Linked DNA regions of Rhinolophus ferrumequinum. The protein of the gene in region 4 interacts with the protein of the main gene of each other region in a pairwise test. Links are inferred from orthologs where the notes say so. Each region holds a gene or a part of one and is shown on either strand. Other genes may lie near its edges. The genes, in order: MED4, ATF2, STX11 and KIFC3.

Region 1 (7,892 bases), on a different chromosome or scaffold from region 4:
ATAATACAACTTTTTTGAAAGCCAATTACACTGGAGTAGCGTCATTCTATGGAGAAGTTTCAATCAGTCTTAGGTGGCAAACCACCAAGACTCTTGTCCACCACCACCTCCAGGATAATAAAAGAGGTAAATTTTCACTTACCTACTGTCACCTACAGTCTTTCTTTAGACATGAACAAATAAAACAGCATGGCAGATAAGTCATGAGAAAAATCAGAAAAAGAAAAATGAACTTCTAAGACAATGGTTATTACCGAAGCCTACAGAAAGAAAGAAGCCTATCACCAATTTATCAATAGATTCAGTGAGGAAGACTACAAATAACAAATCGGTCTTTTCGGCATTCCTGGAAAGAGAGCAACAGAGGAATTACAGCTTCTTTTAGAGGAAGCAAAAGAGGACTCAGTACCTCAACTGTTCATGTACAACTGAAAAGCTGAAAGAGAAAGTTTCACAAATATTGAGGTTCTTCAGGAAAATTTAAATGATGATTCATTACTTCAGTGAATAAATACATTTCACACAGAAAATGCTATATACTTGATAATCAAGGAAAGAATCAAATACAAAGAGGAATAAACTGGTCAAATCTGGATATATGAGAATTTCAATTTAGTCTCAAATTTAACATAACATAAATTAGTTATGTTATCTCAAGTGGAGAGTACATGAATATCAATTATATGCACTCCTACACGTACCAACAGCATCTGGAAAACACACCTCAGATACACAGCCCACTGCCACAGCGATCCACAGGCAAGAACTCAAGATTGACCGCTGGGTTGTCTAAGGTCAGAAGAAATTCTCCAAGACCATTAGTCTGGTAAGTAGACTCAGAAACAATTCCTGAACTTAGTAAACATGAAATATAAAATACACTAGGGTTACTCAGAAAAACAGACCAACAAATTATATTACAGCAAGTAAAACTCAAAAATAAATCAATTTACTGGGCTCCAGAGCAGAAGGGTGAGACACTGAATATACTCAATGAATACGCTAAGGCAAAGATTTGAAATTCTAAGACTAAGAAGTACTCAGAACAAAAGGCAGCAGTCACTACTTCCCAAAGGGGGTGTCACGTCTTTATAAAGTCAACATATTTACAGAAAAATTAATCACTACCATCCATTCCATATGCTTGGTCAAAATGAATAAATAATAAGAAACATTTTAACTCAATTTCGTACGTGACAGTATCATCAAGATTCCTTTGCAAAGACGTTAGAAGCCAGTCAAGCATTAGACTTGGCCGTCAGGTGAGCAGTCTCCCCAAAGAAGATATAGCTCAACGGACCATTTCAAATAGAACACGATCCAGAATTTAAGGAAGTGGAAAAATCACCTCAAACAGGAGCAACAGAGGTATTTTCCAATTAATCATTAGTTGCTCTGAATCTAATGGAACACAAATTTACATCAGAATTACATGGCTGCCTATTCAAGGTACTTCAAAGTACTCAGAGACCCAGTTTGGATGACCAGTGATTCTAAAAGCAGGTAGGTTGAATGCATTGTTCTGCAAATGACAGTTGGCCCTATTTAGAAAAGTAGTGGGCTAGTCAGTGTGTATGGGATGTTAACTTGGTGTTTAAGAACTTAAAAAGAATAAGTCCTGAACGTGAACTAAATGAAGCTTCAACTAGCTGTCCCCAAGAGTCATGTTACACAGAGCAGAGACATAAATAATTGAACGAAAAACTTATCGTGAAAACGCTGTCTTGTTAGTGTCTTTTTACTAAGAAATCATGCTGGTATTCATTGACAGGATTAACTGAAAAAGGAAACTGACAAGGTTTCTGACAGGAACTACAAAACCAACAAAAACAGAAGAAAATAGCGTTTACATTCATCTGTGTAAACATTTACACAGAGGCAACACATTAAGGCAGCTGCCTTATGCCTCTGAGTTTCTTGTTCACTGTACTGACTGCTGGTTGTCTGTAGATTCCACGTGCTCTATTTGTAGTCAGGCAGCATTTGAGTCTAATAGTCTAAACAGTGGATTAAACCCATAAACTATTTAACTTCTGGTGTGTGTTTTTATTACATCACTTAATATCATGCTGACCTACTCATCTGGTAAGTAATGCATGCCATAGCAAGGACTAAATTCACAGCAGATAAAATGCTGACCATTAGTAGGGTCAGGTAACATAACTGTCCAAGAGTGTTGGCTACAGAAAAGATGACATTTAAACTGGATTCTGAAGGATGAATGAATGATTCATCAAGTTGGAGGTGGAGTGGGAATGGCACTAAAGATGAGGAAGTAGAACTTTAGAATAGAAAGCATTCACTGAGGCTGGAGTGAAGGGTAGGGAGGTCGGAGGGATGTGGATGTAAATGAGAACAAGAGGATGGATAAATTCAGAGGAAATGGAGAATGGCTTTATCCCACACTAAGCTAAAGAGTTTGGACTTTATCTCATCGGGCAATGGGAACCTACCAAATATTTTAAAGCAGAAAAGTAATTCGAGATGCCTCTTTAAAAGATAACCCTGTTCTTGGGCAAAATAGAATGATAACGTGAAGAAGACGCCCGTAGGCAACGCATTATTTAACAGTTAAGAATAGGATGTAAAACAGTGTGGATGAGAACAAGAGGTCCAATCTCAGCGACAGTTTAGGGGGAAGAACCCAAACAATTTTAACATCCAAGTGAATGTGAGGGAATTAAGGAAGCCTCCAACTTGACAGGCTATCATGAAAGATGACAGAATCCGGAGAATGACATCCAACTTCATCTCATACCTCTGCCATGCACACTGCACTCCAGCCGTCCCAAACCTGCCATTCCACCGCGTCGCGCGTGCTCAGGTTCCCAGGCCTTTGCTACCTGCCGCCTAGTGCATCTGGTGAACTCGTTCTTCCCAGGCAGTCCTTTCCCCAGGAAGCCTACTCTGATTACGACCAGGCCAGGCGCCTCGTCCCCCTGCTCTATTACAGTAGCGCGCAGCGCAAGCTTCTGATAAAAACCGGTTCCGCGCCTGTCATCTGTTTACACGTCTGTCCCCCTTGACAGCGAGTGGGCTCCTTCTCGCGGACATCTAGTCCCCCGCTCACTACCGTGTCCCTGCCCTTGACAGCCGGTAGTAGCTTTTTAAATGTTTCTAGAGTGTCCGTGGTCGAAGGGGCTCACACCAGGCGATCTCTATGGTCTGCTACGGTTCTGGCAGTCTTGGGGTTCCAGGGTCATTATTAAAACGTCCTCTGGCAGGGGGGTATGCGGGGGGGAGGGAATGCCGTCTGGAAGTCCCCGACGGCTGCGGACGCCACGTCCACGACAACCTCGCCGCTGTCTTTGGAAGTGAGCGCGGGGGTCACCCTCCCCGCGGAGCCCCTGGAACTAGCGCCAACCCTGAGGCAGGTCCTCAAGCGACGACATTACCTCGACAAGACCTCCAGATCTTCCAGCGCAGACAGCAGTCGCTCCCGCGTGCTGTTACCGCCCGCCGTTCCCGAGCTGCATCCCGGCCGCTCCTTCTCCTTCTCGCCGCTCGAAGACGCCGCCATGCTCCTCACGGGCACGCAGCCGGCGTCTGCGCAGCTGTGCGCTGGTGAGGAGAGGCGGGCTCGGGAGGCGGAAGGAAGCGTCACCGAGGAGGGGCAGAGAGGCCCGGTCACAGCGCCGCCTAGGGGCCTGGAGGTTCACTGCGGACGCCTGCGCCATCTGCTGGGCCAGAGAGGGCTTCTGCGATCCAACCCCAGCTGGCAGGCGCAACTGGGTCAGGTTCTACTGCACCTTCCATTCTGCAAGTTGGAATGGGAAGCTTCTGCTCAACGGATTTTAAGCTTTGAAGGAATTACGTAATGGCCTAACTCTTGTATCAGCTTCTTCGTGAAATGGGCGGGGTCTCATCAGTATTAAACTCTCTTTAGTTTTCATTTCCTTAACACTAATCCCACCCTACCGTTTGGCCTCTCAGGAGCTGTAAGCACCTTAGCACAGGAACCATAATCCATCTTTTTATTTTCCCCTGCTGTTTTTCTTTATTGTGGTAAAATACAGGTAACAAAATTTACAATGTTAACTGTATAAGTGCACATGTCAGTGATATTAAGTACATTCATATTGTTGTGCTACCATCACCACCATCCATCTCCAGAACTCTTTTCATCTTGTAAAACTGAAACCCTGTATTCATTAAACAACTCCCCATTCCTCCATACCCCTAGCGCCTGGGAAACACCATTCTACTTTCTTCCTCTGTGATTTTTGACTGCTCTAGGTATCCCATATAAATGGAATCATACAGTATTTGTCTTTTCATGACTGGCTTATTTCACTGAGCTTAATGTACTCTAGATTCATCCACATTGTAGCATATGTCAGAATTTCCTTCCTTTTTAAGGATAAATAATATTCCATTGTGTATATACACCACATTTTGCTCTGTTGCTGGACATTTGAGTTGCTTCCACATTTTCGTAATCCATCTTTATAATCATGTATCTCCCAACAAAATGTGTTGCTCATTGCTCAAGATGACTGTTGAACTGAATGAATCAACACAGTATGTAAGTGGTAGTTAATGAAAATAATTTAAATAATTGGTGTAGCACAAATTCCAAATCAGAACTGAGTATCAAAGCCAAAAATGTACCTTAGCCCACTTTTCTGGGGGAGAACAATGTAGTAGGGGACTTTCCTACCAGGAAAACCCAAAGCTATAACAGTATTGGGAATGGGAGTTCTGCATCGGGTCAAATTGCAGTTAGAAAAGATGAGATGGGGAGAGATCAGCTACAGACAACAGCTGGGAATGAGGCAGGAGTACGGTGGTCCCCTCATTCTAGCATCTTGTCCTCTGATCTGTCCTTCTGCTGGGTACCCAGAGCTGAGGATTCCCTCAGGGACTCATGCTAAATAAATTCATTCATAGCAACTGCTATATAATCCAGAATGCTGATTTATTCACTTACAATGAGCATGATTTTACTCATAGACAAACCTACACAGAAAGCCAAATTATCACCAAAGTGTTGCTTATAAACTTGGATCAGAACAAGTGAAGATAGATTTTTAAAAAAAGAATTAATGCAATCATCAGGATTTGCATCTTCATAGGGTAGGGATATTTGTTAAAGAGATTGGAATATTTGTGTTCATAGGTCAGGGTGCCTCCTCCCTGAGACAATGCAAAAGACTAGTGGACACTTTTGTTTTTTAACCATCCCCCACTTCTGCTCCTAACACCTTCTATTAATACAGTCTCAGGCAATGGAATAAATTAGATTTACCTTCTATTAATACAGTCTCAGGCAATGGAATAAATTAGACTTAAGCTTTCTTAGTTACAATTGTATTCTAAGCATGCCTCTCAGTAGCTCTAGTCAATAATATCTTATGTTACTTTTCCAAGGGCCTAAACTCCTGCCGTCTATGTGGGATTTGTTTACTCAACTCTCACAGGTTCACCTTGGGCCATAATTCTGGCAGGAAGAGAAGAGGCTCATATTAATGTAGCTTCCACATAAAAATTCTGGGAAGATTCTAATCAATTTAAAATGACCAATTATAGTCGCTACCTTACGGGCATTGAGGGGGTCAATGTACGGACACTATATGTGTTTTGTGAATTCTAGACCTCAAAGTTATTGCAAATTTATATGCACGTTGAATATTGTCTATAGACTGATAAAGTAATAGCATATCCTACAGATAAACTCTTCTGCAAACTGCAGATCTAGCTGTGATGAATAAAATATGAATTATTTATAATATAGTAATTAAATATGAATATTTTATATATTTTATTGTTATTATAATAACCAAATTCATGGTAACTTTGAGTGTATTTTCTCCATCTATAGATTCAAAAGGATAAGTACTACCTTCTTGTGAAATTTTATGTATTTAACCTGCTAGGCATAGTTCTTTCTAAGCACTTTAAAAAAAATGAACTCATTTCATTTTCATAACTCTCCCAGAGGTAAGTATTGTTATTATCTCTATGTTACAGATAATGAAGCTCGGAGGCTGAGACGTTAAGAGACTTTCCCAAGGTCCCACAGCTAGTAGGTGGCAAAACAGGGATTTAAACCCAGGGTCTCTCTCCAAGGTCTATGCTCTTAGCTACTGGTTATCCTGTCTCGTTTAAAGAAGGAAGTGTCTTCATTTACTGAAAAAAAGGTTGGGAACCTCTGGTCTAAAATATAAGCACTGTGAAATGCACAGTTTAGAATTCTGTGTAAAAAGCTACAAATGTTTGGTGTGGAGGTTTGAATGTGCAGCAAGAAACTCTACCAGGCCTGTTCCTAAGAGTCAGGAGAAGAGGTGGCTGCATATACTATGTCTTTTTTTTAAAGTCATTTTTTATTCTAATCAATATAGCACTCAAAGATAACTCAAAAGATAACAAAAATGTTCTCATTCTCCATTTCCCCAACCCCCATATCCTGTCATATCATTTTCCATAGCAGCAACCACATGCAACATTTTCAATTATTTCTTCTTTGCTTTGCTTCCATATTTTTACATAATATGCATATATTCTCTATGTCTATTGAACACTTTTAGAGATTTATTTCTGTCCCGGTATGATGAACAAAGATCTTATCTCTCTAACATATCCCATTCCCTTCCTCTATCCTCTCTATAGAAAAAATCCTTTTTTTTTTGTTAAATCCATAATCAATGCTTACATTATTGTACTCGTATTTACACATAACTATGTGATTGCCATTTGTTTGAGATGCCTAACCGACATCTCTGTAGAGATTTTAAAAATAAAATGGAATGGAACAGAAAATTTCTAAAACATCAAAGTGCATTATACTGCTTTGTAGACATTTTTTCAGTTATATATTTATGCATGTGTGTACTGAGACAAATATGAAATATATTTTTTACTGTGTATTAAAATAATCTGCAAGCATCAGAAAGTAGGAAGAATATCAACCCTAACTCTTAGAAAAACAACACTTTTTACGTGAAGGGCCCCAAAGGCAGAGTCTGTATAACTTGTATTGTGGGGGCAGAAAGTTAAAGCAAACCTGTACAAATACAGTGTTGCATTGAGGTGACTATCTGGGATGCCTTACATAGATGGATAGAGTTAGAGGCTAAATTGTATGCCGTCAAAATACTTACAGTGAAGTGCTAACCCTCAGGACTTCAGAATGTGACTGTATTTGGAGGTAGGGCCTTCAAAGAAGTGATTAAGTTAAGTAATAATAGCCTGAGGGCGGGCTCTGATCCAATCCCACTGATACCATTATAAGAAGAGGAGATTTGGACAGAAGATTTGAACACACTGAGGGATGTGGGCACACAGAGAAAATACCATGTGAGGATGCAGTGAGAAGGTGACCGTCTGCAAGCCAAGGAGAAAAGTCTCAGAAGAAACCAACCCAACACCTTGATTTTGGGCTTACAGCCTCTAGGACTGTGAGAAAATAAAGGTCTGTTGTTTAAACCACCCAGTCTCTGGTTTTTTATGTCAGCCCTAGCCAACTAATATGGAGGGGTTGTAAGTCAAAGGGTATTTGGAGATTTCTAAAATTGCCTTGCATAAATCTTTGACTTCCTTGCCCCTGTCTTGATTTGTCCTACTCTCTTGGCAAGATGACACCCTAGACTGAATGCAGCTTGCTTACTACATACCACATGCCTGTACAAATGCAACTGAAAATGGCTGCAGGAAAACACAAGCAAGTCAACTGGTTATACTTGAAATTCGTAACTCCAAACCCCAAACCCGCAGTGGGCCCTTGACGCTACTGGACAAACTGTATATCCTTGTTTAGACCCTCTTCACATTGTTGACCCAATTTCACACCATTTCCTTTCTCCAAACCACTCCTAACCACTCTCAACTTATAAGATCTTGCTTTCTAATTCACTGAGAAAAGAGGAGAAATCAGAAGAGAGGACTCGTACAGA
Region 2 (7,618 bases), on a different chromosome or scaffold from region 4:
AAAATGGCTTTTGCTAATTACAATCATTCCCACTCTGTCTTTCCCCACTAATCTTGTTGAGAATCGCTGTGGTAATAAGCTATTACTACTGTAGGGAGTGCTTTCTATTCCTTGGGTATTAAGACAGAGAAAATGGTTGAGAACCTCTCTATCTTTAAGATACAGAATACAGACATGGGTGAATGGGACTTGCCCCAAAAGTATTGTTTATTTACATCCCTTCTTACTGCAAAAAAGAAAAGTTTTTAATCACTTTACTACCACTGTCCAAAATGTCAAGGAAAAAAAGCATCACTAAATGTACTTAAAAATGTAAACGAATATACCAGTTTCAAGGTTAACAGAATAAATGAAAATAGTATATATAATATACAGAGGATGCCAAAAAAATGTATACAGAAAGGAAAAAACTGTACTAAAATTACACTGACGGTAACCACTTTGAGCACCTCTTGTAACTGCGGAAGTCAAATGTGACTTGTATTCATCTTTTGTTATCGGTATATATTGAGTATTACAATTTTAATACAGTATTTTTCTTTCTTAAAATGTGTATAATTTTTGGAACCCTCTGTATATGTATTTATAATTATTAATTATAACATATGACATATTTATAATAATATATGTAAAATAATTCCAATTATTGTTGGCCTTAAAGATCCACAAACTTTCTTAAATGCCCATGAAACTATACCTTATACTAACTTTTTAACCGTTAGCTCAAGAAAGAGAACAAAAGAAATAACATGTTTTGTGGTGTTTTTCCCTAGAAATAGGTAAATACTATCACTATTACCTCACCAATAAAAACTACATTAAGAGAACATGTAGCATCTTAGGTAAATTAGTTAGCCTCAAGGAATAGGTGTGAGTATAGGATAAACACAGAAATACTAAGTTAAACTACTGAGTATAGCAATGCAAATTTATAGCTTCTTTTTTTAAAGTACATTTTAATTACAGAGAATAGATAACAAGTACTACATGCATTGATTTCTATAAGGATGAACTGAATTTCCAATTGTTGTTATTGGGTTTTAAACGAGGTTTGATTATTTGCCTAAGCTGATACAGATAATAAGATCCAGAGTTGATCTAACATGATCTAACAATTTTAATACCAGCAGAGAACATATAAATCATTAAAACCCAACTTTTCCAAATTACAAAAATTTAGGTAGAAAAAATGTAATGATTTCTTGAGACGTAATACTAGTTACAAGTAGCAGACATTCGATGCATAGCATATAATTTTTTGATATTCATAGCTTCAAAATAGTGAATATCAAAAACAATCATCCCTGCATGTTATTTGTTAAAAGAGCTGACATAATAACCATTTCTACTTTTACCTTAGTTGAAAAATATGAAACAAAAACTCCAACTAAAAAAAGTAAATACAGGGATTTCTGGAATACATATTTAATAGAACAGAACATAGTGCCCCAAATATGAAATATTCTAATAAGGTATTTATAAAAGAACTTTCAGGAAATGCAATCAGATCTACAGAAGGCATTATGTACCTTAAAAACACACAAAAAAGTCCCTGAAAGCTCCTTTCTTACTGACAATTCAAACACAAACAACCAAATTCTAAATTACCACATTATATTTCAAATAATTTAAAACGTAATGGCAGTAGCATCTTCTCAAAGATTAAACATGTTTCAGGAAAGCAGCATACACACCACTGTAAATTTGCAAGATTCCTATAAATTACAAAGACTAGGATTGTTAATTGTTAATGATTGATGGCCTTAAAGATCTATGAACTTCCTTTATTCTGTTACTTGATCTTCAGAAAGACATCTTTTTTTATAATACATACTTTATATCAATATTCCTGCAATTTTGAAAAGTGTACAGTGGATTCCTCAAGTCAGTGTAGCAAATTGAATTAGGAGACATAACTGCTACTATATGTGTCATTAGGGCACTTAATCCTGTAGGGTTGACTTTTTAACAAGCTACTCACCTTCATAGCTTTGTTACAATGGACTAAGAATACATGGTTATTTAAAGATTATGCCTAGAAAGGCTATTACTGACAATGCCAGTGGTTATGAATTTCTTCACATAGGACAAAAAGTGTGCTCAGAGAACAGTTTTGTTCTGATTTCAAATACATACATTAAATTTATGCATTGTTACCGGTTCCATAATTTAAAATTCCTAAGAAATTGTAGCTTTCACATTATAATTTAGGGATTACTCAATAGGCCTAAGGTCCATCAGGAGTTATCACTTTTATGCCATCGTATTCACTGTAGTTTTGTTCTTGGCCTCACCAGTTTTAAGACTCCCCATTAAGCAAAGACAGTTTTATACTACCTAAGGGCACAAAAGTAGTCCCAGGTCTTTCACCCTCACCCGCCTTCCAGCGTCGGTTCAATGAGCGAACACAGAACTCTCTCTCTCTGGCCCTTCGGGCATTGATAAAAAGCACAGGTTATTTCCCACCAGCAGCTCTGCAGTGCACCCAAGGAGGTAAAATATGGGGGAAAACACAAGAATCAATCTGCACCCACACTCAGCCCCGCCCCAGCGGGAAAAAGTGGGGGGTGGCGGGGGCAGCAGGGACAGGAAAGGCCGAGACTTCCAAGTCCCAGGTTCTCCATACCATTTGTTCTATCGTTTCACCGCAGCCAGAGAGACCCTGACCCTATTTTCAGCCGCGCCTCCCTACCCACCTGCCCGCCACCATCACAAACACAGTCCCCAACCACTGAGTCCTGGGTGGGGAGACCAGAGCCAGCCCTCTTCCAGGGTAGAAGCGGTCTCCCCGAGCCCTGGGCGCATCCGACGTGTGGCCCAGGGCCCTCTAAACTGACCAGAGAAGATAAACCGGGGGGAGGGGTCTCAGAGCCGTTATTCCTTTTTCCTCTTCGTTAGGAAAGCGTGCGAGCGGGGAGGGGCCGGAACAACGAACACCGGTTACCTAACGGTCCGGCCCGGCCGGTCGGGCTCGGGCAGCAGACGCCGCGCGGCGGCCGAGGCGGCAGCACAGCCACAGTGGCCGGGAGGCTAGGAACCGAGGCAGGAGCGCCCGAGGTGATGGGGAGCGGGGGGTGGAGACTATGGTGAGCAACGTCGCCATGTTAGTGCCTTCTTTCTCCGTATCCCTACAGTGTCTAGTCCTGTGGCCCTCTCCCCATCATTACTCACCTTTCCAGGTCACTCATTCATGCTTCTTTCGGTCGCCAGCGAGGCCTGAGCTCAACCGTGTTTACAAACTACCCCTGGAGGAAAGGGCTGAACGGCACTTTAAAGGCCACGGGCTCCCACAGGCTTCCGTCCTCTCTCGCGAGATCGGATTGACAAGCCTTCTCCCCGCCCCACTCCCGGCATTCCCCCCCTTTCTTCTCGTGCCCCTCCCCTCCACGCTCACGCCCCTTCTTCTCTTCTTTCAGACCGAGCGCCTCGGGGTCAGGTGATGCCGTCAGACCTGAGGGGAAGGAGGCGGGACTTCAGGAAGGCGGGGATGGAGGAGGCGGAACCAAAGACACTCAGTAGCTGATGATTGGACAAAGCGCCCGGAGGGCGGGCAGCAGTTCTGGAGGGGGCGAGACCACAGAGCCAATGGAGGTGTCTCGGTAGCCCGGCCCTGCGGAAGCCTGTGATTGGCAGCCGGCTGGGTGTGGGACATTGGGGCAGGTGGAGGGTGAGGTCACGGGAAGAGTTTGACGGTGTGCAGAGAGGCAAGGTGAACTCTGGAAAGGCTGTGAGTGGCAGAGAGAGCGCGGGCTGAGTCCCCCGAGCCCAGCCCCGGGAGCCCGGTATTTCCGTTGCTGTCACTTCCTGGCCCTGGGTGGGAAGAAGGTAAAGCATAGGGAGGCGCGCGCCTAAACCCGTCTTCCGGTACCCTGAAGCCTGAGAGGGGGAGTCAGGATTACGCTGAGGTTTGGGAGGGGCGGAGTTTGCCGGGAAAAAACCCGCAAACCAGCTACAAGCTTGAAGCGGGAAAGCAAGTATGTCAGTTCTAGAAAGAAAAGAAAAAAACCTTTACTCTGAATGGCGTTCGAATTTCCCTAAGCTATAACTCTAGAAGTGATTCTTTCAGCTCCTAAGCACCTACAGCCTTTCCCTGAAAATAAGACCTAGCTGGACATTCAGCTCTAATGCGTCTTTTGGAGCAAAAATTAATATAAGACCGGGGTCTTATGTTAGATAGGACAGGGTCTTATGTTAGATAAGACTGGGTCACATAGTAAAATAAGACCGGGTTTTATATTAATTTTTGCTCCAAAAGACGCATTTAGAGCTGATTGTCCGGCTAGGTCTTATTTTCGGGGAAATGTGGTAGTAGTGTAGTGTATGTATGATGTTAGCATATAATTATGTTCGAAGTAATTTACCAAAAGGAAATAGAATGCCTTTTACTGTACCACTAATTTAAAACAGTGCAAGAACTTGTTTATAAGAAAAGTCTCCCATATTACGGTGTATCCCATTTTATTAATTTCCTTTACTTAGCAGATATAGATAAAATTTATCAATTTAGTAGAGATAATTTCAGATCTTTAAAACATCAACAACTCTATTTTAGAGAGACCCAAAGGACACCAAATTAGAATATGGCATAGAGATGGCACTCTTTCCACAATACTATCCCACTGCTTAATAGGTGGCTGCAATGCCAAAGAAATGTCTGTCAAGCTTTGAAAGTAGCTGTTTAAGAAGAGGAGAGGGGCAGATCACTTGATTAATTTAACGTGAGAGACAAAAGAGACCATATTTACTTCTCTGCCATCACTGTCACAGATAAACTCCTAAAAACACAGAAGTACAATGCTGAAAATATTTCTTAATGTTCTATGATTCTCTATACAACTTAAATATTTAAATGTTAACTTTAGGGATATTGATTGTTCAATAAATGCATACTGGCACAAATTGAAAAATATGACCAGGGCCCCTGTGAAATTTCCATTAACTACTTTTTAAAAAAGCAAGTTATTTTCACTTTCTTGTTTTCCATTGGTAGGTGCTGATTTCTAGTCTTCAAAAAAATTATGAGTAAATTTTAAGTATTAACATAAAATGCACTCACAAACATCTCTAAACCAAAGTGAAACCGAAATTGTTGGAAGATTGTGGGAGATAGTATTTGAGAGTTAATGAACCTGCAGTTCCGTAATGGTATTTGGCATAAAAGTGAAATTGTAACGGCACTGGGTCTTTAACAGGTTTCTGGCCTGTATACATGTACAAGAGCCAACTCACTTTTAAAACTAATTTCATTAAAAGAGACCAGAAAGAAGCCAGGTTATTAACACTGTTTACTTCTCAAATTAAATGAAAGTACCCTCCCTATATAGTAGCAATAACATTGTAGTAGAGTTAGTGTGTAGTGTAATACTGATGATGAACATCTAATGGACAAAATGTGCAACTAACAAATCACAACTTCTTACGTCTAGAATACATTATTACCTAATGTGTTGCTACTTCTCTCCATCTCCCAAATTGTCTAATGTGAGAAGAAAAAAACTATAAATGCTACGGCATTTTTTTTTTATGCTATGGCATTTTAAAAGAAGTTTGCATCGATTAGAGTAGTTTTTTAAACTATTATTTTTCATTCACATATCAAAAATTTGAAATTCTTTTCTCCAATTTTGATTTGTTTTCAGTTGACAGGTTCGGTTTTAAATTTTTCTTTGTCCCTATTTCTCCAGTCTAAGTAATTATCTACATAATGCACTAGAGCAGGGGTGTCCAAACTGTGGCCCGCAGGCCAACTGCAGCCCACGATCCATTTTTTATTGTCCCGCAGCAAATTCCAAAAATATGTTTAGTTTACTTAAATAAACCAGGTGAGGCAACACGTACTTCACCTCGAGTGAGTGGCCCGGCTGTTTGTGTATTTTACCGCATATGGCCCTGGGTGAAAAACGTTTAAAAAAGGTTGGATACCCCTGTACTAGAGGTACATGTTATTTTAAAGAAAGTCTTTCAGGAGTCCTCTTAGACAAGAGAAGAATCATTTAGTAATACAAATAGTACTCTTATTTGCTGTGAGAATGCCATTTTAAGCTAATTTTCTAAAGAGAAGGTATAAAGTGAGATAAAATTAAAGGAGATCAGGGAGAAAACGGGTGGGAAGGATGCAAATCTGTTCTGTATGCATGTTGACAGCCTGGCGGTTAGCAAAGGCTCTCACTTTACCAGCTCCACAGCAGTTCATTTACTATAGCTTTTCTATAAGTGGAGAACATTGGTGTAGACAAAATGAATATAATTATTTTTGGTTCTGGTCCTGTGAATGTGTAAGTCTCATATTTATCCATATCCTTATAAAATACTTTCTTTATATTTCAGTTTTTTTCACACTTCCTCATTCCTCAGTATTCCCCAAAAGCCCTAATGGTCTTTCCAATCTTTTCTTTACGAATGCAGGAAGCTTCTTCTGGACCCATTTTTTGCCTGCCTTATTATTCCATGCATGCGTCTACCCAGCTTACTCCTAGGAAAATTAGTAAGGATCTGGTAAACCTCCTTTAAGAACTCAGGATAAAACTGGCATCCTTTATTACAAGAACAGGTTATGAGAAGAAAACTTGTTTCTATTGCAAAATACCCATTACTAAATACCACACAAATAAAATAGTGGCCTCTAAATGCTCTCAAAACTTTCCAAGTGCTACATATGTGTATTTCCACCTCGTTTAGAAGTATTATGTGGTTGTTAAGCCATTTTATAGTATTGCTTATAAGAATTCTACTAAAACCTTGCTCAAATTAGATAGATAAGGAGGGAAGATTTAATTTATAAAACATAGCTTCTGTTTGTCTATAGCTAAACAAAACATAACATACTCCAGGATATCCCTTATATCTGCCTTGGACTCAGGGAAAGAGCCTCTGCATTTTCCCAGGTATCCACAAGACGCTGCCCAGGACAGTGCATTAGCTGGGATTTTGCCAGTGAACTCACTAGGGTGTGTGGTGTGTGATGTGTGTGTGTGTGTGTGTGTGTGTTACAAAAGGCGTGGAAGAAGCAGAGCATGATTATCCACCTACCTGATACCAGAGAGAGGAGGACAGCATGGCCTTAGACATTTTAGTTGATTTTTAGGGTAGCTTCTATCTCATGGCAGGTCTTCTTTCCCCATCTCTGACAGCCCAGGGTGCACGTTGCCGCAATGACCTGTTATAGTTACCTGCCAGGGCCTATCCTCACTATGGAAATGTCGATTCAGAACATTTCACTGCAGGGAGGACCATGTCCACCTCCCACCTCCAATCTTTGGTTTCTCAAAATAATGTATTTATTGTGTGTGGCATTGTGGGGAAATAAATGAGAGGGCTGTGTTTATCTTCAAATCATACCAATTAGTTTATACCAGCTTCAGTGAGACCAGCCCAAGGACAGAGAATGCAATTTAAGGGCCTTATTTTCATCTTTCATACCAATACCTTCAACCAATCTTTCATCCCACTCACTAGAAAGAAGGCTTTTCATTATATTCTGCTTTCCAATAAAAGTAGATAGAATCTCTCCTAGGGTAAATAATTTTGTCTGGCATTCCAGTATCTACCCTTCACGGCTAATCTGTTTGTCAACCTGAGGCCCACATAATACAAAAGCCATGAATTCCTAATGCCAGAA
Region 3 (8,333 bases), on a different chromosome or scaffold from region 4:
CAGTGGCTTAAACCTTAATTCCTATTTGGAGCTTGTCTGGTGCATGTTTATAAAGCTACAACTCTGTTTTATAAACAGGTGCCACCAGGAATTGTCATAACCAGAAAATTTAAGTTCTAGATTTTTATATCTCCAGCATATGTGCAGATCTCTTCTGTTTGCCTCTTTAGATCCACTTTCTGCTTTGCTCCATCCTACTCTCGACCCTGGGAGGTTGATCTGAATGGACTTTGGAAACAGGCTCCTAGGCCTTTAGACTTCTTTTGGGCTTGACCAATAGGGAACTCGAGCAGGAGAGCAAAAGCAGGGGATGAGGTCAAGGCATTTATTCCGAACAGAAAGCCTGTCTGTGTCCCTCTTATTTAAGGTGGTCTGTTCTACACGATTCCTCTCCTTCCTGGTTCTGAATACCTCTCCCCATTCATGAGTCTCAGGCCTGGGGTATGCCAGCCCAGGGGTCCCTTATGGTTCCCACCCTGTTTGCATCTTTATAATAGTACCCTTATTAATAAACCTTCCTTGAATTGTTCTAATTTGAATGTGCTATCAGTTTTAGGTTGAGATCCTAACTGACACAGTATCCTTAATTAGTAGGTAAAGGACAGTGTCCAAATCCTATTCTGAAAATTTTATACCTATAGTCTTTATAAAAAGTGTTCCTTGATGATAATATCATCTCCTGAATTCAATCCACTAGTTAGCTGTATGAAGAAATCATGTTGTATGTCATCTGATATAAATTTTTTTCAGATGTACTCAGGCTAGAAAAAATATTCTCAGATTCACAGGCAAATCTTCTTGCATATAGCTTCTCTACATAACGTGTAATCTTTGGAGATATAAAACTAAGACTCTATAAAGTATATAGGTTAACTTTTAAGGGTTTAAATAGTTTGATATCTAATAATATTTAAATTCCCTCTAAATGTGTGAGGAAATCTGTACCTCAGTACTGCAAACAAGCCATCATTACTCAATCCACCCAGCTTACCGGAGAACAGTTTCTAACCCTGTGCTTAGACTGCAAGATTGTGTCCCCCTCAAATTTATATTTTAAAACCTGATCCCTGATGTGATATTAGGAAGTGGTGCCTCGGGGTGATTAAGTCATAAGGATGGAGCCCTGAAGAATGGGATGAGTGTCCCTGTAAAAGAGACCCTAGACAGCTCCCTCACCCCTTCTGAGATGTGAGGGCAGTGAGAAGACGGCCAATGACCAGGAAGTGGGCCCCCCCCCAACACACACACACACACACACACACACACACACGCGCGCGCGGAGTCGGCCAGGGCCTTCATCTTGGACTTCCCAACCTCTAGAACTGTGAGAAGTAAATTTCTGTTAGAAGTTCTGTGAGAAGTTTGTAAGCTGCTCGGTTAGATATTTTTGTTACAGCATAGCCCAAATGAACTAAGACACCTTTGAAGCTCAGGATTTCAATGTACAATTATTAGCAAACATCAGATCATTAAAAAATATAAACCCCAGAAAGCTAATACCAATGTTAAAGATAACCAACACTTATTGTTCGGTTATAATGTGCTAAGCACTGTTTTGACGTTTTCATATATTATTTCATTTAATTCTCATCAGAAATGTATGAGGTGTTCATAATTCAGCCCCATATGACAGAGGAGGAAATCCGTCCTGTCCACTCCCCCAACCGCAGCAAGCAAAGGATCCTGGATTCAAATCCTAGTGTCTGACACAACAGTCCAAGTTCTTAAACACCAATAAAGATTCCAAGAACAACATCAAAGACCACAGAAGAACCAAAAAATGAGAACTTTTCAAAGCAAATGATTTCTTCTATCCTGTTACCTACACTCAAAGAGCAATGTCAAAATCTAGGTAAGCTTAGAAAAATTACTCTAAAAGAAAAAAGAATGCAACACATAACTCTCATAGAAAAGCAAATTTTTTTGTTGTTCAATAAGCTTATTTTTCTGTGCATGGTATACAAGGAGGGGTAGAAATCAAGTGGTGAACATTGTATGATTTTGGTATTAAATTTTTTTCCTGCCTATAATTCCTGAAATGATACTGTTGCATTCTTATTTTAACCCAAATGGCAATTAAGTGAAAACTTTCCTCTTACATATTGGCATATACTGACCTGAAGTTTAGCATGTACTGGGTAATTTATGTATACAAATAGAATACTTTCTGTAAAAGAGATTGGGCCGAAACAACCTGATCTAGAGATAGTAGAATTGATCTGCTTAATAGCTCTTAAGGGAAACCAATTTTTCTGCAACTGTGATTTTGCATAACAAGTTGCAAAAGTATTTTAAGATGAGACTCTTACTCAATACTCACTTCTCGTAAACCCTTTTTTGCACCATGGCCCTGTCCTGCGGAACTGATAAAAGTGAAACAAGAGCATCAACAGAAGGTAACCAATAAGCCGTGCCTGTCACAGATAATAGTTTAGTCATAAGCCTTTAAATATTGGGTTTGAATTTGAATCATTAATTTAGTTCTCAGCAAGTGTAATTTTCACAAAGAAGCTAAACAGTTTTACATCCATATGATTTGTGCTATCTGTTTAGAAACTATGTATTTCTACTCCCAAAATCCTTACTTTGGGGCTGAGACACGATTTTCTTTTCGTTTTCCTCTTCATCCATTTCATCCCCTTGCTGCAGCTCCATGTCTTTTCTTTATCTGTCTTCCTTTTCCCTTTTCAAAGGGATGGGTTTCTTCGTTAAATACAGTCTATAATTTCTGTGAGTTTGTGGACCACAGCCAGCTTCCCTCCGTGACCCTAAAGAAAACTTAAAAATACAATATTGGCACCACAAAAAACAAGCATGTTTCAAATGATGACTACGTGCTTTAAGATGAACTTACTAAAGGTAACCGTGAAAACAGATTGCAATCTGAGCAGTGAACTCACACATTCAATGCACACATTCAACAAAGTCTTTCCTTGAGCATACCTGCCTTTGGGATGATGATGTTGTTGAGACCTTGGAGAAGCTGACAGATGTTCCTCTCCTTTCGCCGCTCTTTACTTGTGTCCCCTGAGCATGAGGAGGAATCTTTGCCTGACACAGCCTTGCATCATTAGCTCTGGATGTTGAAAGCAGGCCACTCCAGCTGATTTCTTTAAACCGTATTTTCTATAAGTTGGTGATGCGCAAAGGAGAGTTATGAAACAGGAACTTTTGCCACAACACTACATCCCTAGTCACAAGGAAACATTTACAAAATAAATGCTCCTACAAATCAGAATTGATTACAATGCAAATGTCAGTGGGGGACATAATCTATTCACACCTTATTTCTTTCATGGTCCTAGTACATCATCTCTCCAACTTCGATAATGAGCGGACCCCTCTTCAGGGAAAAGAATATATGGCACCCAGGATTGACAAATTATTTCTACTCTAATGTTACCTGAATATAATATATATACAATGTTATTTACATAGACGTGGTATAAATGTCTATGACTACAGAATATAAAATCCAAACCAATCTACACATTAAAAATATAAAATCAAAAATATTAAAATAAACATGGATTTAATGTTGTTTTGATGAAGTAAAACGAAAAATCTTTAGTTTTTTTTAAATAGAAAAGTGCATTGGGGTTTTTTGTATTTCATTGATTAGCTATATTATTCTCTTTATTTTGAGGATAACAGATACTCATTTAAATGATCCTCATCATACTATGACTTTTTCTTTTAAATATATATTCACCTCGAATCATCAATCCTTGGATTTTTTTTTCAGCTTTATTGAGGTATACTTGACAAATAAAATTGTAAGATGTTTGAAATGTGTAAAGTGTGCGACGATGTATGTATACACTGTGAAAAGAGTCCCACCATCTAATTAACATATCCATCACCTCCCATATTTATCTTCTTTTGTGTGTGAGAACATTTAAGCTTTGCTCTAGTAGCAAATTTCAATTATATTATACAGTGTTAACTATGGTCAGTATGTTTACATTAGATCCTCAGACCTTATTCATCTCATAGCTGAACACTTGTACGTTTTTACCAACCTCTTCTTATTTCCCCCACCCCACCTCCTGGCAGTCAGTTTTCAACTGTTTCTATGAGTTTGACTTTTTCTTTCAAGTCCATATATAAGTGATACCATGCAGTATTTGTCTTTCTCTCTCGGGCTTATTTCACTTAGCATAATGTCCTCCGATTCCATCCATGTTGTTGCAAATGGTAGGATTTGCTTTTTTCTCATGGCTGAATAATATTCATATATATATATATTTACATATATATATATATCAAAAAAATGTATACACATTTTAAGAAAGGAAAAAAACTATTAAAATAGTATATACTGATAACAAAAGATAAATACAAGTCACGTTTGACTGCTGCAATTACAAGAGGTGCTCAAAGTGATTACCATCAGCATCCAGACACTTCTGATTATGACGAACTACTTCTTGTGCAACATTGACCAAGTGTCCACTTGTGTACATTTTTTTGACAACCCTGTTATATATAGAGAGAGTGCCAAAAAATGTATACACGTTTTATGAAAAGAAAAAACTATATTAAAATTACTCTGATATATATATATACCGTGTTTCCCCAAAAATAAGACCTAACTGAAAAATAAGCCCTAGCATGATTTTTCAGGATGACACCCCCTGAACATAGCCCTAATGTGTCATGGAGCAAAAATTAATATAAGATCCGGTCTTATTTTCAGGGAAACATGGTGTGTATGTATATATATATATATATATATATATATATATATATATATATATATGTAGTAATATATATATACATATGTGTATATATATACACACACATATATATTATGTGTATACATATATATGTATATACATATAATGTGTATATATTATATGGACATTTAGGTTGTTTCCATATCTTAGCTATTGTGAATAATGCTTCAATGAACACGGGAGAGCATATATCTTTTCAAGTTACTGTTTTCATTTTCTTCACATAAATACCCACAAGTAGAACTTTTGGGTCATAAGGTAGTTCTAGTTTTAATTTTTTGAGGTACCTCATACTGTTTTCCATAGTGACTGCACCAATTTACATTCCCACCAACAGCGCACAAGGGTTCCCTTTTCTCCACATTAATGGCCAACACCTATTATCACTTGTCTTTTTGATGATGGCCATTCTAACAGGTGTGAGGTGATATTTCATTGAAGTTCTGTTTGTATTTCCCTGATGATTAGCGATGTTGAGAGCACCTTTTCATGTACCTGTTGGGCATTTCTACATCTTCTTTAGTGTGAATGAAGAAGGGGCCACATGCTAAACCGACAAGCTCAGGGGAGGTCAGCATGGTGAGTCCTACAAACTCAGAGACTGAAATTAACTATATAGGATGGTCTGGACATAAAAATTCCTAACTAAAAGCGGGTCATGGCAGGTTGTCACATCCTTGGCCTGTCGCTTCCTTCGCAGGTCAATCTTGACCTTAAGTGAGCCTGTCTGTTGTCTTTTTTGCATCTAAAATAACATACCCTTGGAATGTCAGAGTAATCCCTTTTTTTCCAGACCCCTCAGGACACAGCCAACTTCACCACAGCCAACTGGGCTCTAATAAACTCATTAAAATTCTCTACAGGTTTGGACGTTTCTTATGTCAACATTAGGAAATGTCTGTTCAGTTCCTCTGCCCATTTTTTAATCGGATTGGTTTTTTGTTGTTGTTTTGTTTTTTTGATTGTTTGTTTGTTTTGCTATTGAGTTGTATGAGTTCTTCCTATATTTTGGATATTCACTCCCTATCAGATATAGAATTTGCAAATATTTTCTCCCATTCTATAGGTTGTCTTTATGTTTTGTTGATGGTTTTTTTTTGAAGTGCTAAAACTTTTTAGTTCGATGTAGTCCCACTTGTTTATTTTTTCTTTTGTTGTTTTTGCTTTTGGTGTCAAATCAAAAAAATTATTGTAAAGACCAATATGAAGATTACCCCCTGTGTTTTCTTCTAGGAGTTTATGGTTTCAGATTTTATGTTCAAGTATTTAACCCATTTAGAGTTGATTTTGGGGCATGGTGTAATATAGAGCTTCAGTTTCATTGTTTTGCATGTGGCTGTCCAGTTTTCCCAACACCACTTATTGAAGAGACTATCCTTTCCTCATTGTATATTCTTGACTTGTTCTAAATTATTTGATCATAGATGCATATGTATATTTCTCAGCTCTCTGTTCTGTTCCATTGATGTATGTGTCTGTTTTTATGCCAATACCGTATGTTTTGATTACTACAGCTGTGTGAAATAGTTTGAAATCAGGACATGTGATGCCTCCAGCTTTGTTCTGTCTCAAGATTTCTTTAGCTATTTGAGGTCTTTTTGTGGTTTCATACACATTTTGGAATTATTTGTTCTATTTTTGTGTAATATGTTGTTTTCGCTTACTTAAGATTCTCTCTGTCTTTAACTTTTGACAGTTTAATTATAATGTGTCTCAGTGTGGTTCTCTTTGGATTCAGCCTGGTCCTGTTACTGTAGGCAGAAAGAACTAGGCAGAAAGAGCAGTGTGTGGGGAGAGAAGGGTGAGACAAAGGAAGGAGGAAATGAGGTCATTCTTAAGAAAAGGTGCAGCTACAGCTAAAGGTAACAGATTACAATAACATTAGCATTGCAGGCCGGGAAAATTCTCCACCCCTGTGTCGCCATGAAAGTTCCCACAAGAGCCAGTAAAAACAAGGGAATCCCACCTCCCAACAGGAAGGAGTGGTCAGCAAGGATAGCAGGGACCCACCCTGGGAATACCTATGACACCAGCCCTAAAACTTGAATAGTTCATACTCTCATTCAAATACAACCCTAAGCCTCTTTGTTCTTTGGTGCAGTTGCCCTCCTCCTGGCTGGCCCACTTCCATTATTTTGGGGAGTGTACTCTTTTTCTTTACTTCAATAAATCCACTGCTTGCTTGGCTTTGTTCTCACGACTCATTCGATTAGTCCTTGAATTCCTTTCTGGGATGATACAAGAACCCTTTTTTTTGGTAACATATGGTTATAATGAGTCAGTAATTTTAAAACTCTCCGTATAATAAAATACCAACATATAAGTCTAATGTAATGAAAATGTCTTTAATGAATATTTATGATTATATTTAGTGCTAATGAATTGAAATACTGTATGTGATACTACATACACACATGAATGTGGTAGTAACTTTGAAGGTACAGATGGAAAACGCACAGGGTGAGCCCCGTTCGTCCCAGCTTATTGCTTTGAGAGAGTTTCCAGCACATGGCACGGAAAAGAAGAAACCAGGCAGATTCCCTGAGTTAAGGAGATGAAGATAAATGTCCAGGGAGATGAAGGTGATTAAAATTCGTAGGAAAGAAAGAGAGAGAGAGAGAGAGAGAGAGAGAGAGAGAGAGAGAGACCCCAGGAGATCTGCTCCAAGGAGTCACAGAGATTTCTCAGTGCATGCATGTGAGAAAACTACCTGGAGCTGGAGCAAAGACACCTAAAAAGATTGGAAGGAGCAGTAACTTTCGCTCACACAGGCCATAAATAATGCCTATTCCCACTAGCCATACAGGAAAAGCCTCATAATTCACTGGGTAGCGTGGTTGGAAGAGTTTTGCCTCAGCAGGATAAAACTGTTTTTCAACTAATTTAACAGAACAAAGTTCAAGAATACTTATGGAAAAACAAAAACATTTAGCACCCAACAAGGTATAATACACAATCTATGGCATCCGCTCAAAAATTACCAGGCATGTTAAAGAGCAGGAAAATTCAACACATAATACGGAGAAAAACAACCAATCAGAACTGACAAAATGTTAGGATTAGCAGGCAAGGATATTAAAACAGTTATTATAACTGAATTCATATGTTCAAAAAGTTGAGACATAGAAAATATGAAAAAGACCTAAACGAACTTCTGTAGATAAAAGATACAGTGTCTGAGATTAAAAATACACTAGTCGAATTAATGGCAGATTAGACATGCAGAAGGAAAGATTAGTGAGTTTGAAGGCAGAGCAATAAAACTAGCCAGAATCACACATAGAAAGAAATAAAAAATTAATTAACAATACAGCAATGAGCTTTGATAAAACTTCAACTGACTATACTCGTATAACAGCCCTTGAAAGCAGACTGTGATAAGTTAATGAGGTATACTAGAAACCCAAAAGCAATTAAAATGACAAAACAGAGTTATAACTAACATGCCAGCGAAGAAGGGAAGAAAATGAATCATTAAAATACTCAATGGATCCAAAAGAAAGCAGAAAAAGAGAATGCAGAATAGATGGAACAAATAGAAAACAAAAAACAAGTGTTCGATTTCTACATAACACATAATAATCACATTAACCG
Region 4 (8,108 bases):
TTTCAGGGTGCTCCACTGTCTGGGCTAACCCATTCACACACACACACACCTGGGAAAGGATTTCAATCTGAAGCAGAACCAGAGGATATGAAATGGAGACTGTCCCACGTGTGCCCTCAGGAGAATAGAACTTAGGAACGGAGACTGATTTCCCATAAACGCCTGATTTGCAGAAGACCCGGACTTCTCTCCTGACCATGGACATCCACCAAGAATCCTTTCCCATCCTTAAGCCAATGAACATTCTGCTTGGTCTCTGGCCAGACTTCCCGCTCTTTACACTCCTTCCCAAAAATACAGCCCACCCCCAAACCCTCAACAGACTCCCCTATAGCTTGCTACATGTGTTTCCCGAATTTCAATTCCTCTGCTATTCCTGAATAAACTCAATTTCTGGTCTTTCGAGTCTGCCTCAGTTTATCTCTTTATTTGGGTTGACATCCCCACACCCTCATTGTCCTTTTCTCAAGCTGGCTCCTGTCCATCCTCAGGTCTTAAAGATGTCAGTTCCTCAGAGAGGCCTTCCCTGACCACCCCCAGCCTCCCATCACCTGCCCTCTTTCTGTATTTTATTGTTATCATGACTCTTATCACAGTCTGAAATTATCTTGTTTTCTGTCTGCCTCCCCTGCCAGGTGTGCAAGCTCCAAGACAGAGAATCGTGTTGGCCTATTCACATCCTGGAAAAGGGCCTGGTACAGAGCAAACATTCAATACATATTTGTTGAGTGAAGAAATCAATCAATCAAGCAGAGATAGATAATGAACTTGTAAATAATTAATGCAATCCAGAGCAGCAAAGTGGGAATCACTCAAAAACTAATCTCAGGCTCTGCCATTTTATCAACAATAAGTACAACAACAACAATAGCAATAAAAAAAAATCAATAATAATTCAATAATTATATTTTATAATCCAATTCAATAAAACAGTTTCAACAACACAAATAACTCGGGTATTGATTCAAAGCGCTTGGCATTTACTATCTCTTCTCAACCTCATGACAATCCAATGAGACATAGTCTGTTATCCCCATTTTAATGGGTCCAAAAACTGAGGTATAGCAGATGTTTTGTGACTTGCCCAAGGTCACAGAGCCAGTTTGGGGCAGAGTCAGGATCCTAACAGGAGGCCACACAACTGTATTCAAATTCCTCTAAAGAAACATTATAGAGCTGGTGAAAGAAAGGTTTTCAAAAACAGATTACCTCACAGGCACATTGGGAGGGTTCAGATAAAAGGGTTTTGGATTCATTCTGAACTACTTGAAAGAGATCCCACCACAGTATAGTCGGAATGTGAACATAAACAACCATTTATTGAGCGCTCACTGTCAACCAGGCCCAGGGTTATGCACTTTACATGCATTATTATCCCCAGTTTACAGATGAGGAAACTGAGGTACAGAGCAACTGAGTAACTTCTTCAAAGTCCCCTGGCCAGGAAGTATTCATCTCAGCTGTGGCTGCACAGATATTCATCACAGGAAAAACCTAGCACTCAGTTAGATCTGGTCATTTGCCAGGAGCTTCTGAGAGTATAGAAGATACTAGAAATGCCTAAATCTGGCAACTTTCAGACATGTTTACAAGACTTGAAGAAAAAACTCCATACTTCATCCTGGAGAAGTTTCTTTCCTTTATCTAAAGGCACTGTGAACTGTGACCCTCCTTGGCAAGGTCTGCTCCTTACCTGTAAGCCATGGACCGTTGTCTCTGAGACCAGGATGCTTCCTGGGGAAGGGGCTTGGAGTTTGGCAGGACCAGATCCATTGGAGGTGCCGGGGCCAAGCCAGTGCCAGCCCCAGGTCTCCTCCTGGCCTGCACTGGGGGGTCTTTCCCATTCTCCCCTTCGTCCCCTCCACAGAGCCCAACTCTTCAAGCTCAGCTGGAGCAGGGCTGGAACCAGGAACATGGCAGCCACGGGCTGGCTCATGCTGTCAGGTTGTGGGAACAGAATCTTCCAAACTGGGGCCTGCAATGGCCTGTGCCCTGGAATTTTCTGCTTGGTTCACCAATTCCTAGCTGGACCAGCAGTGGCTTTGGTTTTGAACAAGGCCGGCATTCAGTCTTTAGTCCAGCAATTAAAAGGCTTTGAGGACAGGATCTCCTTTAGTTTCCAGGGCATGACCCGGGTCACAGGCAACACAAGCAAAGGTCTTCAAATATTGTCCTCTGAGTTTTCTAGCCAGTGTGTCTCCGCTGCAGTCAATACGGTCTTGAGAAGAATTCGAATTGTTATAGCAGGGGAGGCAAAAATAAAGTTAATGAGTCTCCTGACATTCAAGTGGCAGCTCAAGATATCCACAGTTGAACCTCTCCCCAAATTTTTCACCCCTCCCCAAATCCCGCGTCTCCCCCAGCCTTCCCACCCCAGCTAATAGCAACAGCACCCTTCTTGTGACTCAAGCGGAAACTGCAGGCATCCTTGTCTCTTTCTTTCACACGCCACGTCCTACCAGTGACAAGTCTGCCTGGCTCCACCTTCGAATAGCATCTGGAATCTGACCACTTCTTCCCACCCCCACTGCGCCCACCATTTCTGCCGGGATGCCTCCAGGAGGTTCCCCCTGGTCTCCCACTTCCAGCCCTTTATTCACTATCATCACTTCTCAACTCAGCAGCCAGAAAGTCCTCTTAAAATTAAAGTCGAACCATGTCAATCTCCTGCTTAGAACCTTCGATGGTTCCCATTGTCGCTCTGAGAAAAAGCCCAAGTCTGACAGCGGCCCTTCAGGACTCGCAGCTGCAAACCTCCCGTTACTTTCTATTCTTCCACTCTGCTCCTGAAATCCACCAGGCACCCTAAAGCCCTTTGCACAGGTTGTTCCCCTTTATCTGGATGCTCTTTCCCCAGATATCCACGTGGCTCCCTCCGTCCCTGCCTCCCCACCTGCTCAGGCATCTTTTCCACAAAGAGGCTCACCCCTCATCTTCCACCTCCACTCCCCAACCCACACCCTGCTCTGGTTTTCCTTTCTTCCTTCATTGCCTTTAACACCTGTGACATGTGAATGATGTACTTATTTGTTGTGCCTGTGTGAAGGGGAGAAAACCTACAAGGTGTACTTTTGTTTGCCAGGATCTCTCAGGCAGCTGTATGGAGCCCGGCATGTGGAAGGGGCTCAGTGAAGATTTGTGAAATGAAGGCGAGTCCCTGCGAGGCACGGAATTTCTATTGAAGAAACATGAGAAAGGGAAGAGAGGAAACGTTTGAACTTTCTGGCCCCTTGGGGAGATGAGATGGGGGAGAGAGTGTCGGAGGCGGGGCTGGAGACCATGTAGGTGCCCCCCTCCAGCCACTTGTAAGCCTCTGCCTACCCCCCCAACCCACCCACTGGGTTCTCAGCTGTCCTGAGAGCACTGTGACATTCCCGGCCCCAGACCCGAAATCGGACTGGAAGAAGCAGACAGCTGAAGGACACGTCTTTCCCTACCTGTGGCCTTTGTGACCTTGCAGTGACCTCCAACGTGGGCGAGGGGCCCCAGGCACTCCACTTTCTACATATAAATACTGATGGCTGAAGAAAGCGAATAGTAGAAAGTGATCCTAATAGAAGTGGCCTTGCTGCAGATGCTAGAAGGCAGTGTCCTGCTGGGAAACCTGGACACCCGGGCAGAGAGGATGGCCCAGTGCAGCCCCCACAAGTGCAAATTCCCTCGTCAAATCATCCAGGCCCCGATTCTTTAATGAATCTGGTCACAGACAGCCCGTCCTGCCTCCCCTGTCTCCCTCTCCATCTGGGTGTTAACGAGAAAAGCAGATTAGAAATGTCAATCCCGGGGCTGGTTCAGAGCTGCAGCACTGTCCACATTCGTTCCATTCCGACAGGTCCAATTTCCTTCCCCAAACAAACACTTGGGAATTGGGTTTTGAGAAACCTTCTACTTATATGAATTTCATGAGCTTGACTATGACCTGGAGTAACTCTTTTATGAGCAAAACAAAGATATGACCAATAAAAAGGAATTTGTTTTCCTTTGTAATTTCAAATAGAGTCTGTGTGTGTCAAACACACATGGGGCCGTCCAGTTTTTTGTTAGAAGCAGGAAAGGCAAGTCCGATAAGGTAATTTGCAGGTGCTACTGTGAGTATCTAAGAGAACATTAAGACTTTGTTTCCTTCATCTCATTGTTCGAGAGTATATACTTTCAGATTCCATGCAGAGGCTAGAAGAATCCTTTGCAAAACAATTTAAAAATACGCTGAAAAATTATTGTCGGAGCAACTCTGTTGTTAATTAAAAAATAAATCAGAAGCCAAAGTTTTATTACCACGTCATCCTTTTATATCTAATGCCTCGAAATTGCCGTACATTTTGGGGAGTCTACTAAAGCGATTAGCTCGTTTTATCCACATGGGTGTTCACGTTATTATGGTGCCCTTGGGAAGTAAGAGTGTCCCAGAATCATTGTAATTTAGTCATTGTTTTCTTTAGTATAAAGAAAGCCAAGTTGAACAAGGAGTGATTCAGCTGACTGAAGAAGGACCACACAGAGAGCTGAAATTCAGGGCCAGACGAAGATGCCCTATGAATCTCATTTTCAGTTCTGTGTGCAGACCACTAACGCGTCTCTCTCACGAAACAGAAGCCCTGAGAATGACTACATAGTATTTTTAACAAAAACATTTACCATGTCTGAGGACTTTATGCTTGTGATACCTTCACGCAGCAGCTTTGAAGAAAAACAGCAGAGGTTAGGCACGCCTTTTCAAGGTCAAATTCTATTAGAAGAAAAAAATCTAAAGACCTAGATTCCCTGGAGGCAGCCACGTTAAACTTGTTTTGTTTTCAAGGCAGGAAATATTCACATAAAATTACACTTTGTGAGAGGATGTCTATGATGATTTAAGTTTTGTCTCTCTTCTTCTCCCCTCCACAAAAGATGAATCCTAGAATCCTAAAAATGTTCTCCCCTTAGCTGTCATGGTAAGTAACCTACTTCGTTGTTGCTCTTGAACCAGCAGAAAACAACAGCACTGAGTGATCAGATGGTACAGGGATTAGCAGAGAGGCTAGAAGTAAGCTTTAGAGGTTTATATCTACAGTACGAACTTGGGTCCCACTGCTAGAGACAAAAAAGGAAAAAAAACACAAAAAAACCCTTAACCAATTCAAGGTAACGACAGTAACAGTTTCTCGATAATTGGTGATCTCATTTGAAAGGGTCAGTTGTAAATAAGCACAGCAATGAAACCCAGTGTTCACTCATCAATTTATTCTCTACAGATCAGTTTAATTGAGATAAATTACCTCGTAGACAATGACAATACCGACTTACTTACACAGATAAGTAAGATCTGTGAGATCAATTGAGATAAACTCTGCGGGTGTGTATCCGTGGAGGCATTTACTTTCTCATTTCTGATGGAATGATTTTCAGGCACGTAAAGTGCTCAGTGAATGCATGATGGCAGTTCTCCAAGGATCCGAGTCAGTATAGTTTTTTAAACTACAGAATTAGTGCCCTTTGTTTTATGAAGGGAAGGACATAAACTCCCTGCTGCTAGAATAAAAGAGGTGAGCAGAGGTGTTTAGAATGAGTGTTGAATGTTCTTCACAGCATGATGTTAAAATTCAAAAGATTTCCAGTGGGTCACTCTTGTTTGTAATGGGACATTTCTTAAAGGGGGGAAATTTTATTAAAATGGGGAGAGATAAACTACATTTTCTCTTTCACTTAGTGGTGGGAATCTCTGAGTAAAACACACTGTAAAAATACCTGGACATACCTGAGATACATGATTGCGTTCGGCACCCAGCAAAACATTTTCAATCTAGAAATTCACGTGCTTCAGGTGTTGGGACTTTCTTGTGTTATTTCTTTGATTTTTTTTTTTTCTCCCTTCCATTTTCTTGGTTCTCTCCAGAATTCTTTTGGGTCCATTTTGGGAATTCCTGATTTGATTCTACCTTGCTTTTCTCTTCCATTTCTCATATCTATCTTTTTGTTCTAGCTCCAAGAAATTTCCTCAGCTTTATCTTCCAACCCACCTATTGATTTCCCCTCTCACATGATATTTTTAATTCCCCAGAGATTTTTCTTGTTTCCTGACTATTCATTTATCAATAGAATTTCAAGGGTACAATTGCATTTTGTCTCTCTGGGACTATTAATTATGGAGTTTGTTTTTTTCCCTTCTCTCTTTTGCTGCTTTAATTGTTTGTTTTCTCTCTCTCTCTTTTTTTCCTGTTTGTTTCGGTATCTACTTTTAAGTTAGAGACTTCATGTTAGATTATTCTTGACTTTCTGTTCATATTTAAGGATGGGACACTACAAAGTCAATTGGAAGTGTAAGTGTGGGTAGAGCTCATGATTGAAGAACTTCCTGTCGGGTGGTAGAGTGGGGACCAGGATCTTTCATTGGAAGGCCTTCATTGTCAATTTTATTAGGTCTTTTCTCTTGAGCTGGTCAGTTTCCCCAGAAGTGAATCATCCCATCTCCTGTCTAAGTTGGGTACAATCCTGGCTGCCAATATTCCGAGACCTAAGAGAGGAAAGGAGGCTGGAGGTCTCATTGTTCAAAATCAAATTTTCATTTAATTCCTGTTTTGGGTTTGGTGTCTCATCAGCCCACTCCCTTTTCTAAGTCCAGATTCTTTGACATCTTTGTCTGCTGTTGTTTCCTCTTCTATTATCTTCATTCTTACAGGTTTTTACTTTTTCATTCCTTTACAGTCATTTCATTTGGGTTCAGGGATGGATGAAAATAAATGCATATGCTCAAGCCTCCATGCTTAACTAGAAATATTACACATTCATATTTTGCTTCAAGAGGTTTCATGCTAAGTACATTTATATTATGAGTGATAACTGCTCCATAAGCTCCAATGATCCCAACTGGGGTAGAGTGAAGGAACCTATATGATGAAAAAATTTCTACATTCTACTTGAAGTGGTGGTGTATCAACTATAAGTTATCTGTGAAAAGTTAGATATGTAAATTGTAATTCCTAGAGCAACTTAAAAAACTTCTTTGTAGACTATTTCTTTGTATGGAATAGCTAGAAAATGTTTTGTATAGAACTAAAAGTAGTATGTTCTAGTATATAAGTAAAAAAAAAAATTTGTATAGAAAAGCTATTCAAAGAAATAAAATAAAAAAGCCAACAGATAAATTAAAGTGGTATACTAAAAATGTCCAAATAACCTAAAAGAAAGCAAGAAAGGGCAAATAGAGAAACAAAAAAATGGAGGGGACAAACAGAAAACAAATAAATGATTGACCTAAATTCAAACATATTAATAATTACATTAAGTATAAGTAGTCTAAATATACCAATTAAAAGACAGAAATTTCTAAATTGGACTTTTAAAAAAGGCCCAACTATATGCCACCAATAAGAAATTCACTTTACATATAATGGTATAGATGTGTTAAAAGCATGAGTGTGGAAAAGTATATACCATGCAAACAAAAAGCTGGAGTGGCTGTATTATTCTCAGACAAAGTAAATTACAAAGCTAGGAAACTACTATGGATAAAGAAAGACATTACATAATGATAAGGGAGCCAATTTACCAAAAGGACATAACAATCTTAAATATATATGCACCTAACAACACTGCTTCACAATACATGCAGCAAAAACTGATAGCACTAAAAGGAGAAAATGGACAAATCCACAACTATAGTTGGATACTTCAACTTTCCTCTCTCAGTAATTGATAGAACAAGTAGGCAGAAAATCATCAAGGATACAGAATTAAACACCACCATTAACCAATTGAATCTAATTGACATTTATGGACTATTTCATCCAATAACAACAGAATGAATATTCTTTTCAAGCACACATAGAACATTCACCAAGATAGACCGTATTCTGGGCCATACAACATACGTATCAAATTTAAAAGAATTTAAATCTCAAATATATGGTGATGGAAGGAGAACTGACTTTGGGTGGTGAACACACAATGGGATTTATAGATGATGTAATACAGAATTGTACACCTGAAATCTCTGTAACTTTACTGACAATTGTCACCCCAATAAACTTTAATTAAAAAAAAAGAATTTAAGTCATTTAAACTATGTTCTCTGACCATAAAACAATTAAACTAGAAATCAATAGAAAAATATCTGGAAAAATCTGCAAGTA

Evidence for each region.
Region 1: the proteins of KIFC3 (region 4) and MED4 interact in binary tests that used the Homo sapiens proteins (3 or more experiments, as listed by UniProt). The two-hybrid records come from large-scale screens. The link is inferred for Rhinolophus ferrumequinum from reciprocal best matches to the Homo sapiens genes KIFC3 and MED4.
Region 2: the proteins of KIFC3 (region 4) and ATF2 interact in binary tests that used the Homo sapiens proteins (3 or more experiments, as listed by UniProt). The two-hybrid records come from large-scale screens. The link is inferred for Rhinolophus ferrumequinum from reciprocal best matches to the Homo sapiens genes KIFC3 and ATF2.
Region 3: the proteins of KIFC3 (region 4) and STX11 interact in binary tests that used the Homo sapiens proteins (3 or more experiments, as listed by UniProt). The link is inferred for Rhinolophus ferrumequinum from reciprocal best matches to the Homo sapiens genes KIFC3 and STX11.

What each region holds. Positions count from the first base shown.
Region 1 is NC_046287.1:89,288,155-89,296,046, reverse strand, and holds the start of MED4 (mediator of RNA polymerase II transcription subunit 4), read right to left. Parts: upstream 3,592-7,892; 5' UTR 3,521-3,591; coding exon 3,396-3,520; intron 1-3,395. UniProt on the Homo sapiens protein: Component of the Mediator complex, a coactivator involved in the regulated transcription of nearly all RNA polymerase II-dependent genes.
Region 2 is NC_046291.1:50,154,782-50,162,399, reverse strand, and holds the start of ATF2 (cyclic AMP-dependent transcription factor ATF-2), read right to left. Parts: upstream 3,326-7,618; 5' UTR 3,172-3,325; intron 1-3,171. UniProt on the Homo sapiens protein: Transcriptional activator which regulates the transcription of various genes, including those involved in anti-apoptosis, cell growth, and DNA damage response.
Region 3 is NC_046286.1:88,728,770-88,737,102, reverse strand, and holds the start of STX11 (syntaxin-11), read right to left. Parts: upstream 3,131-8,333; 5' UTR 2,944-3,130; intron 2,779-2,943; exon of another isoform or gene 2,769-2,778; 5' UTR 2,656-2,768; coding exon 2,586-2,655; intron 1-2,585. UniProt on the Homo sapiens protein: SNARE that acts to regulate protein transport between late endosomes and the trans-Golgi network.
Region 4 is NC_046298.1:10,367,982-10,376,089, forward strand, and holds the start of KIFC3 (kinesin-like protein KIFC3), read right to left. Parts: upstream 3,580-8,108; 5' UTR 3,438-3,579; intron 2,219-3,437; 5' UTR 1,937-2,218; coding exon 1,694-1,936; intron 1-1,693. UniProt on the Homo sapiens protein: Minus-end microtubule-dependent motor protein. Involved in apically targeted transport. Required for zonula adherens maintenance.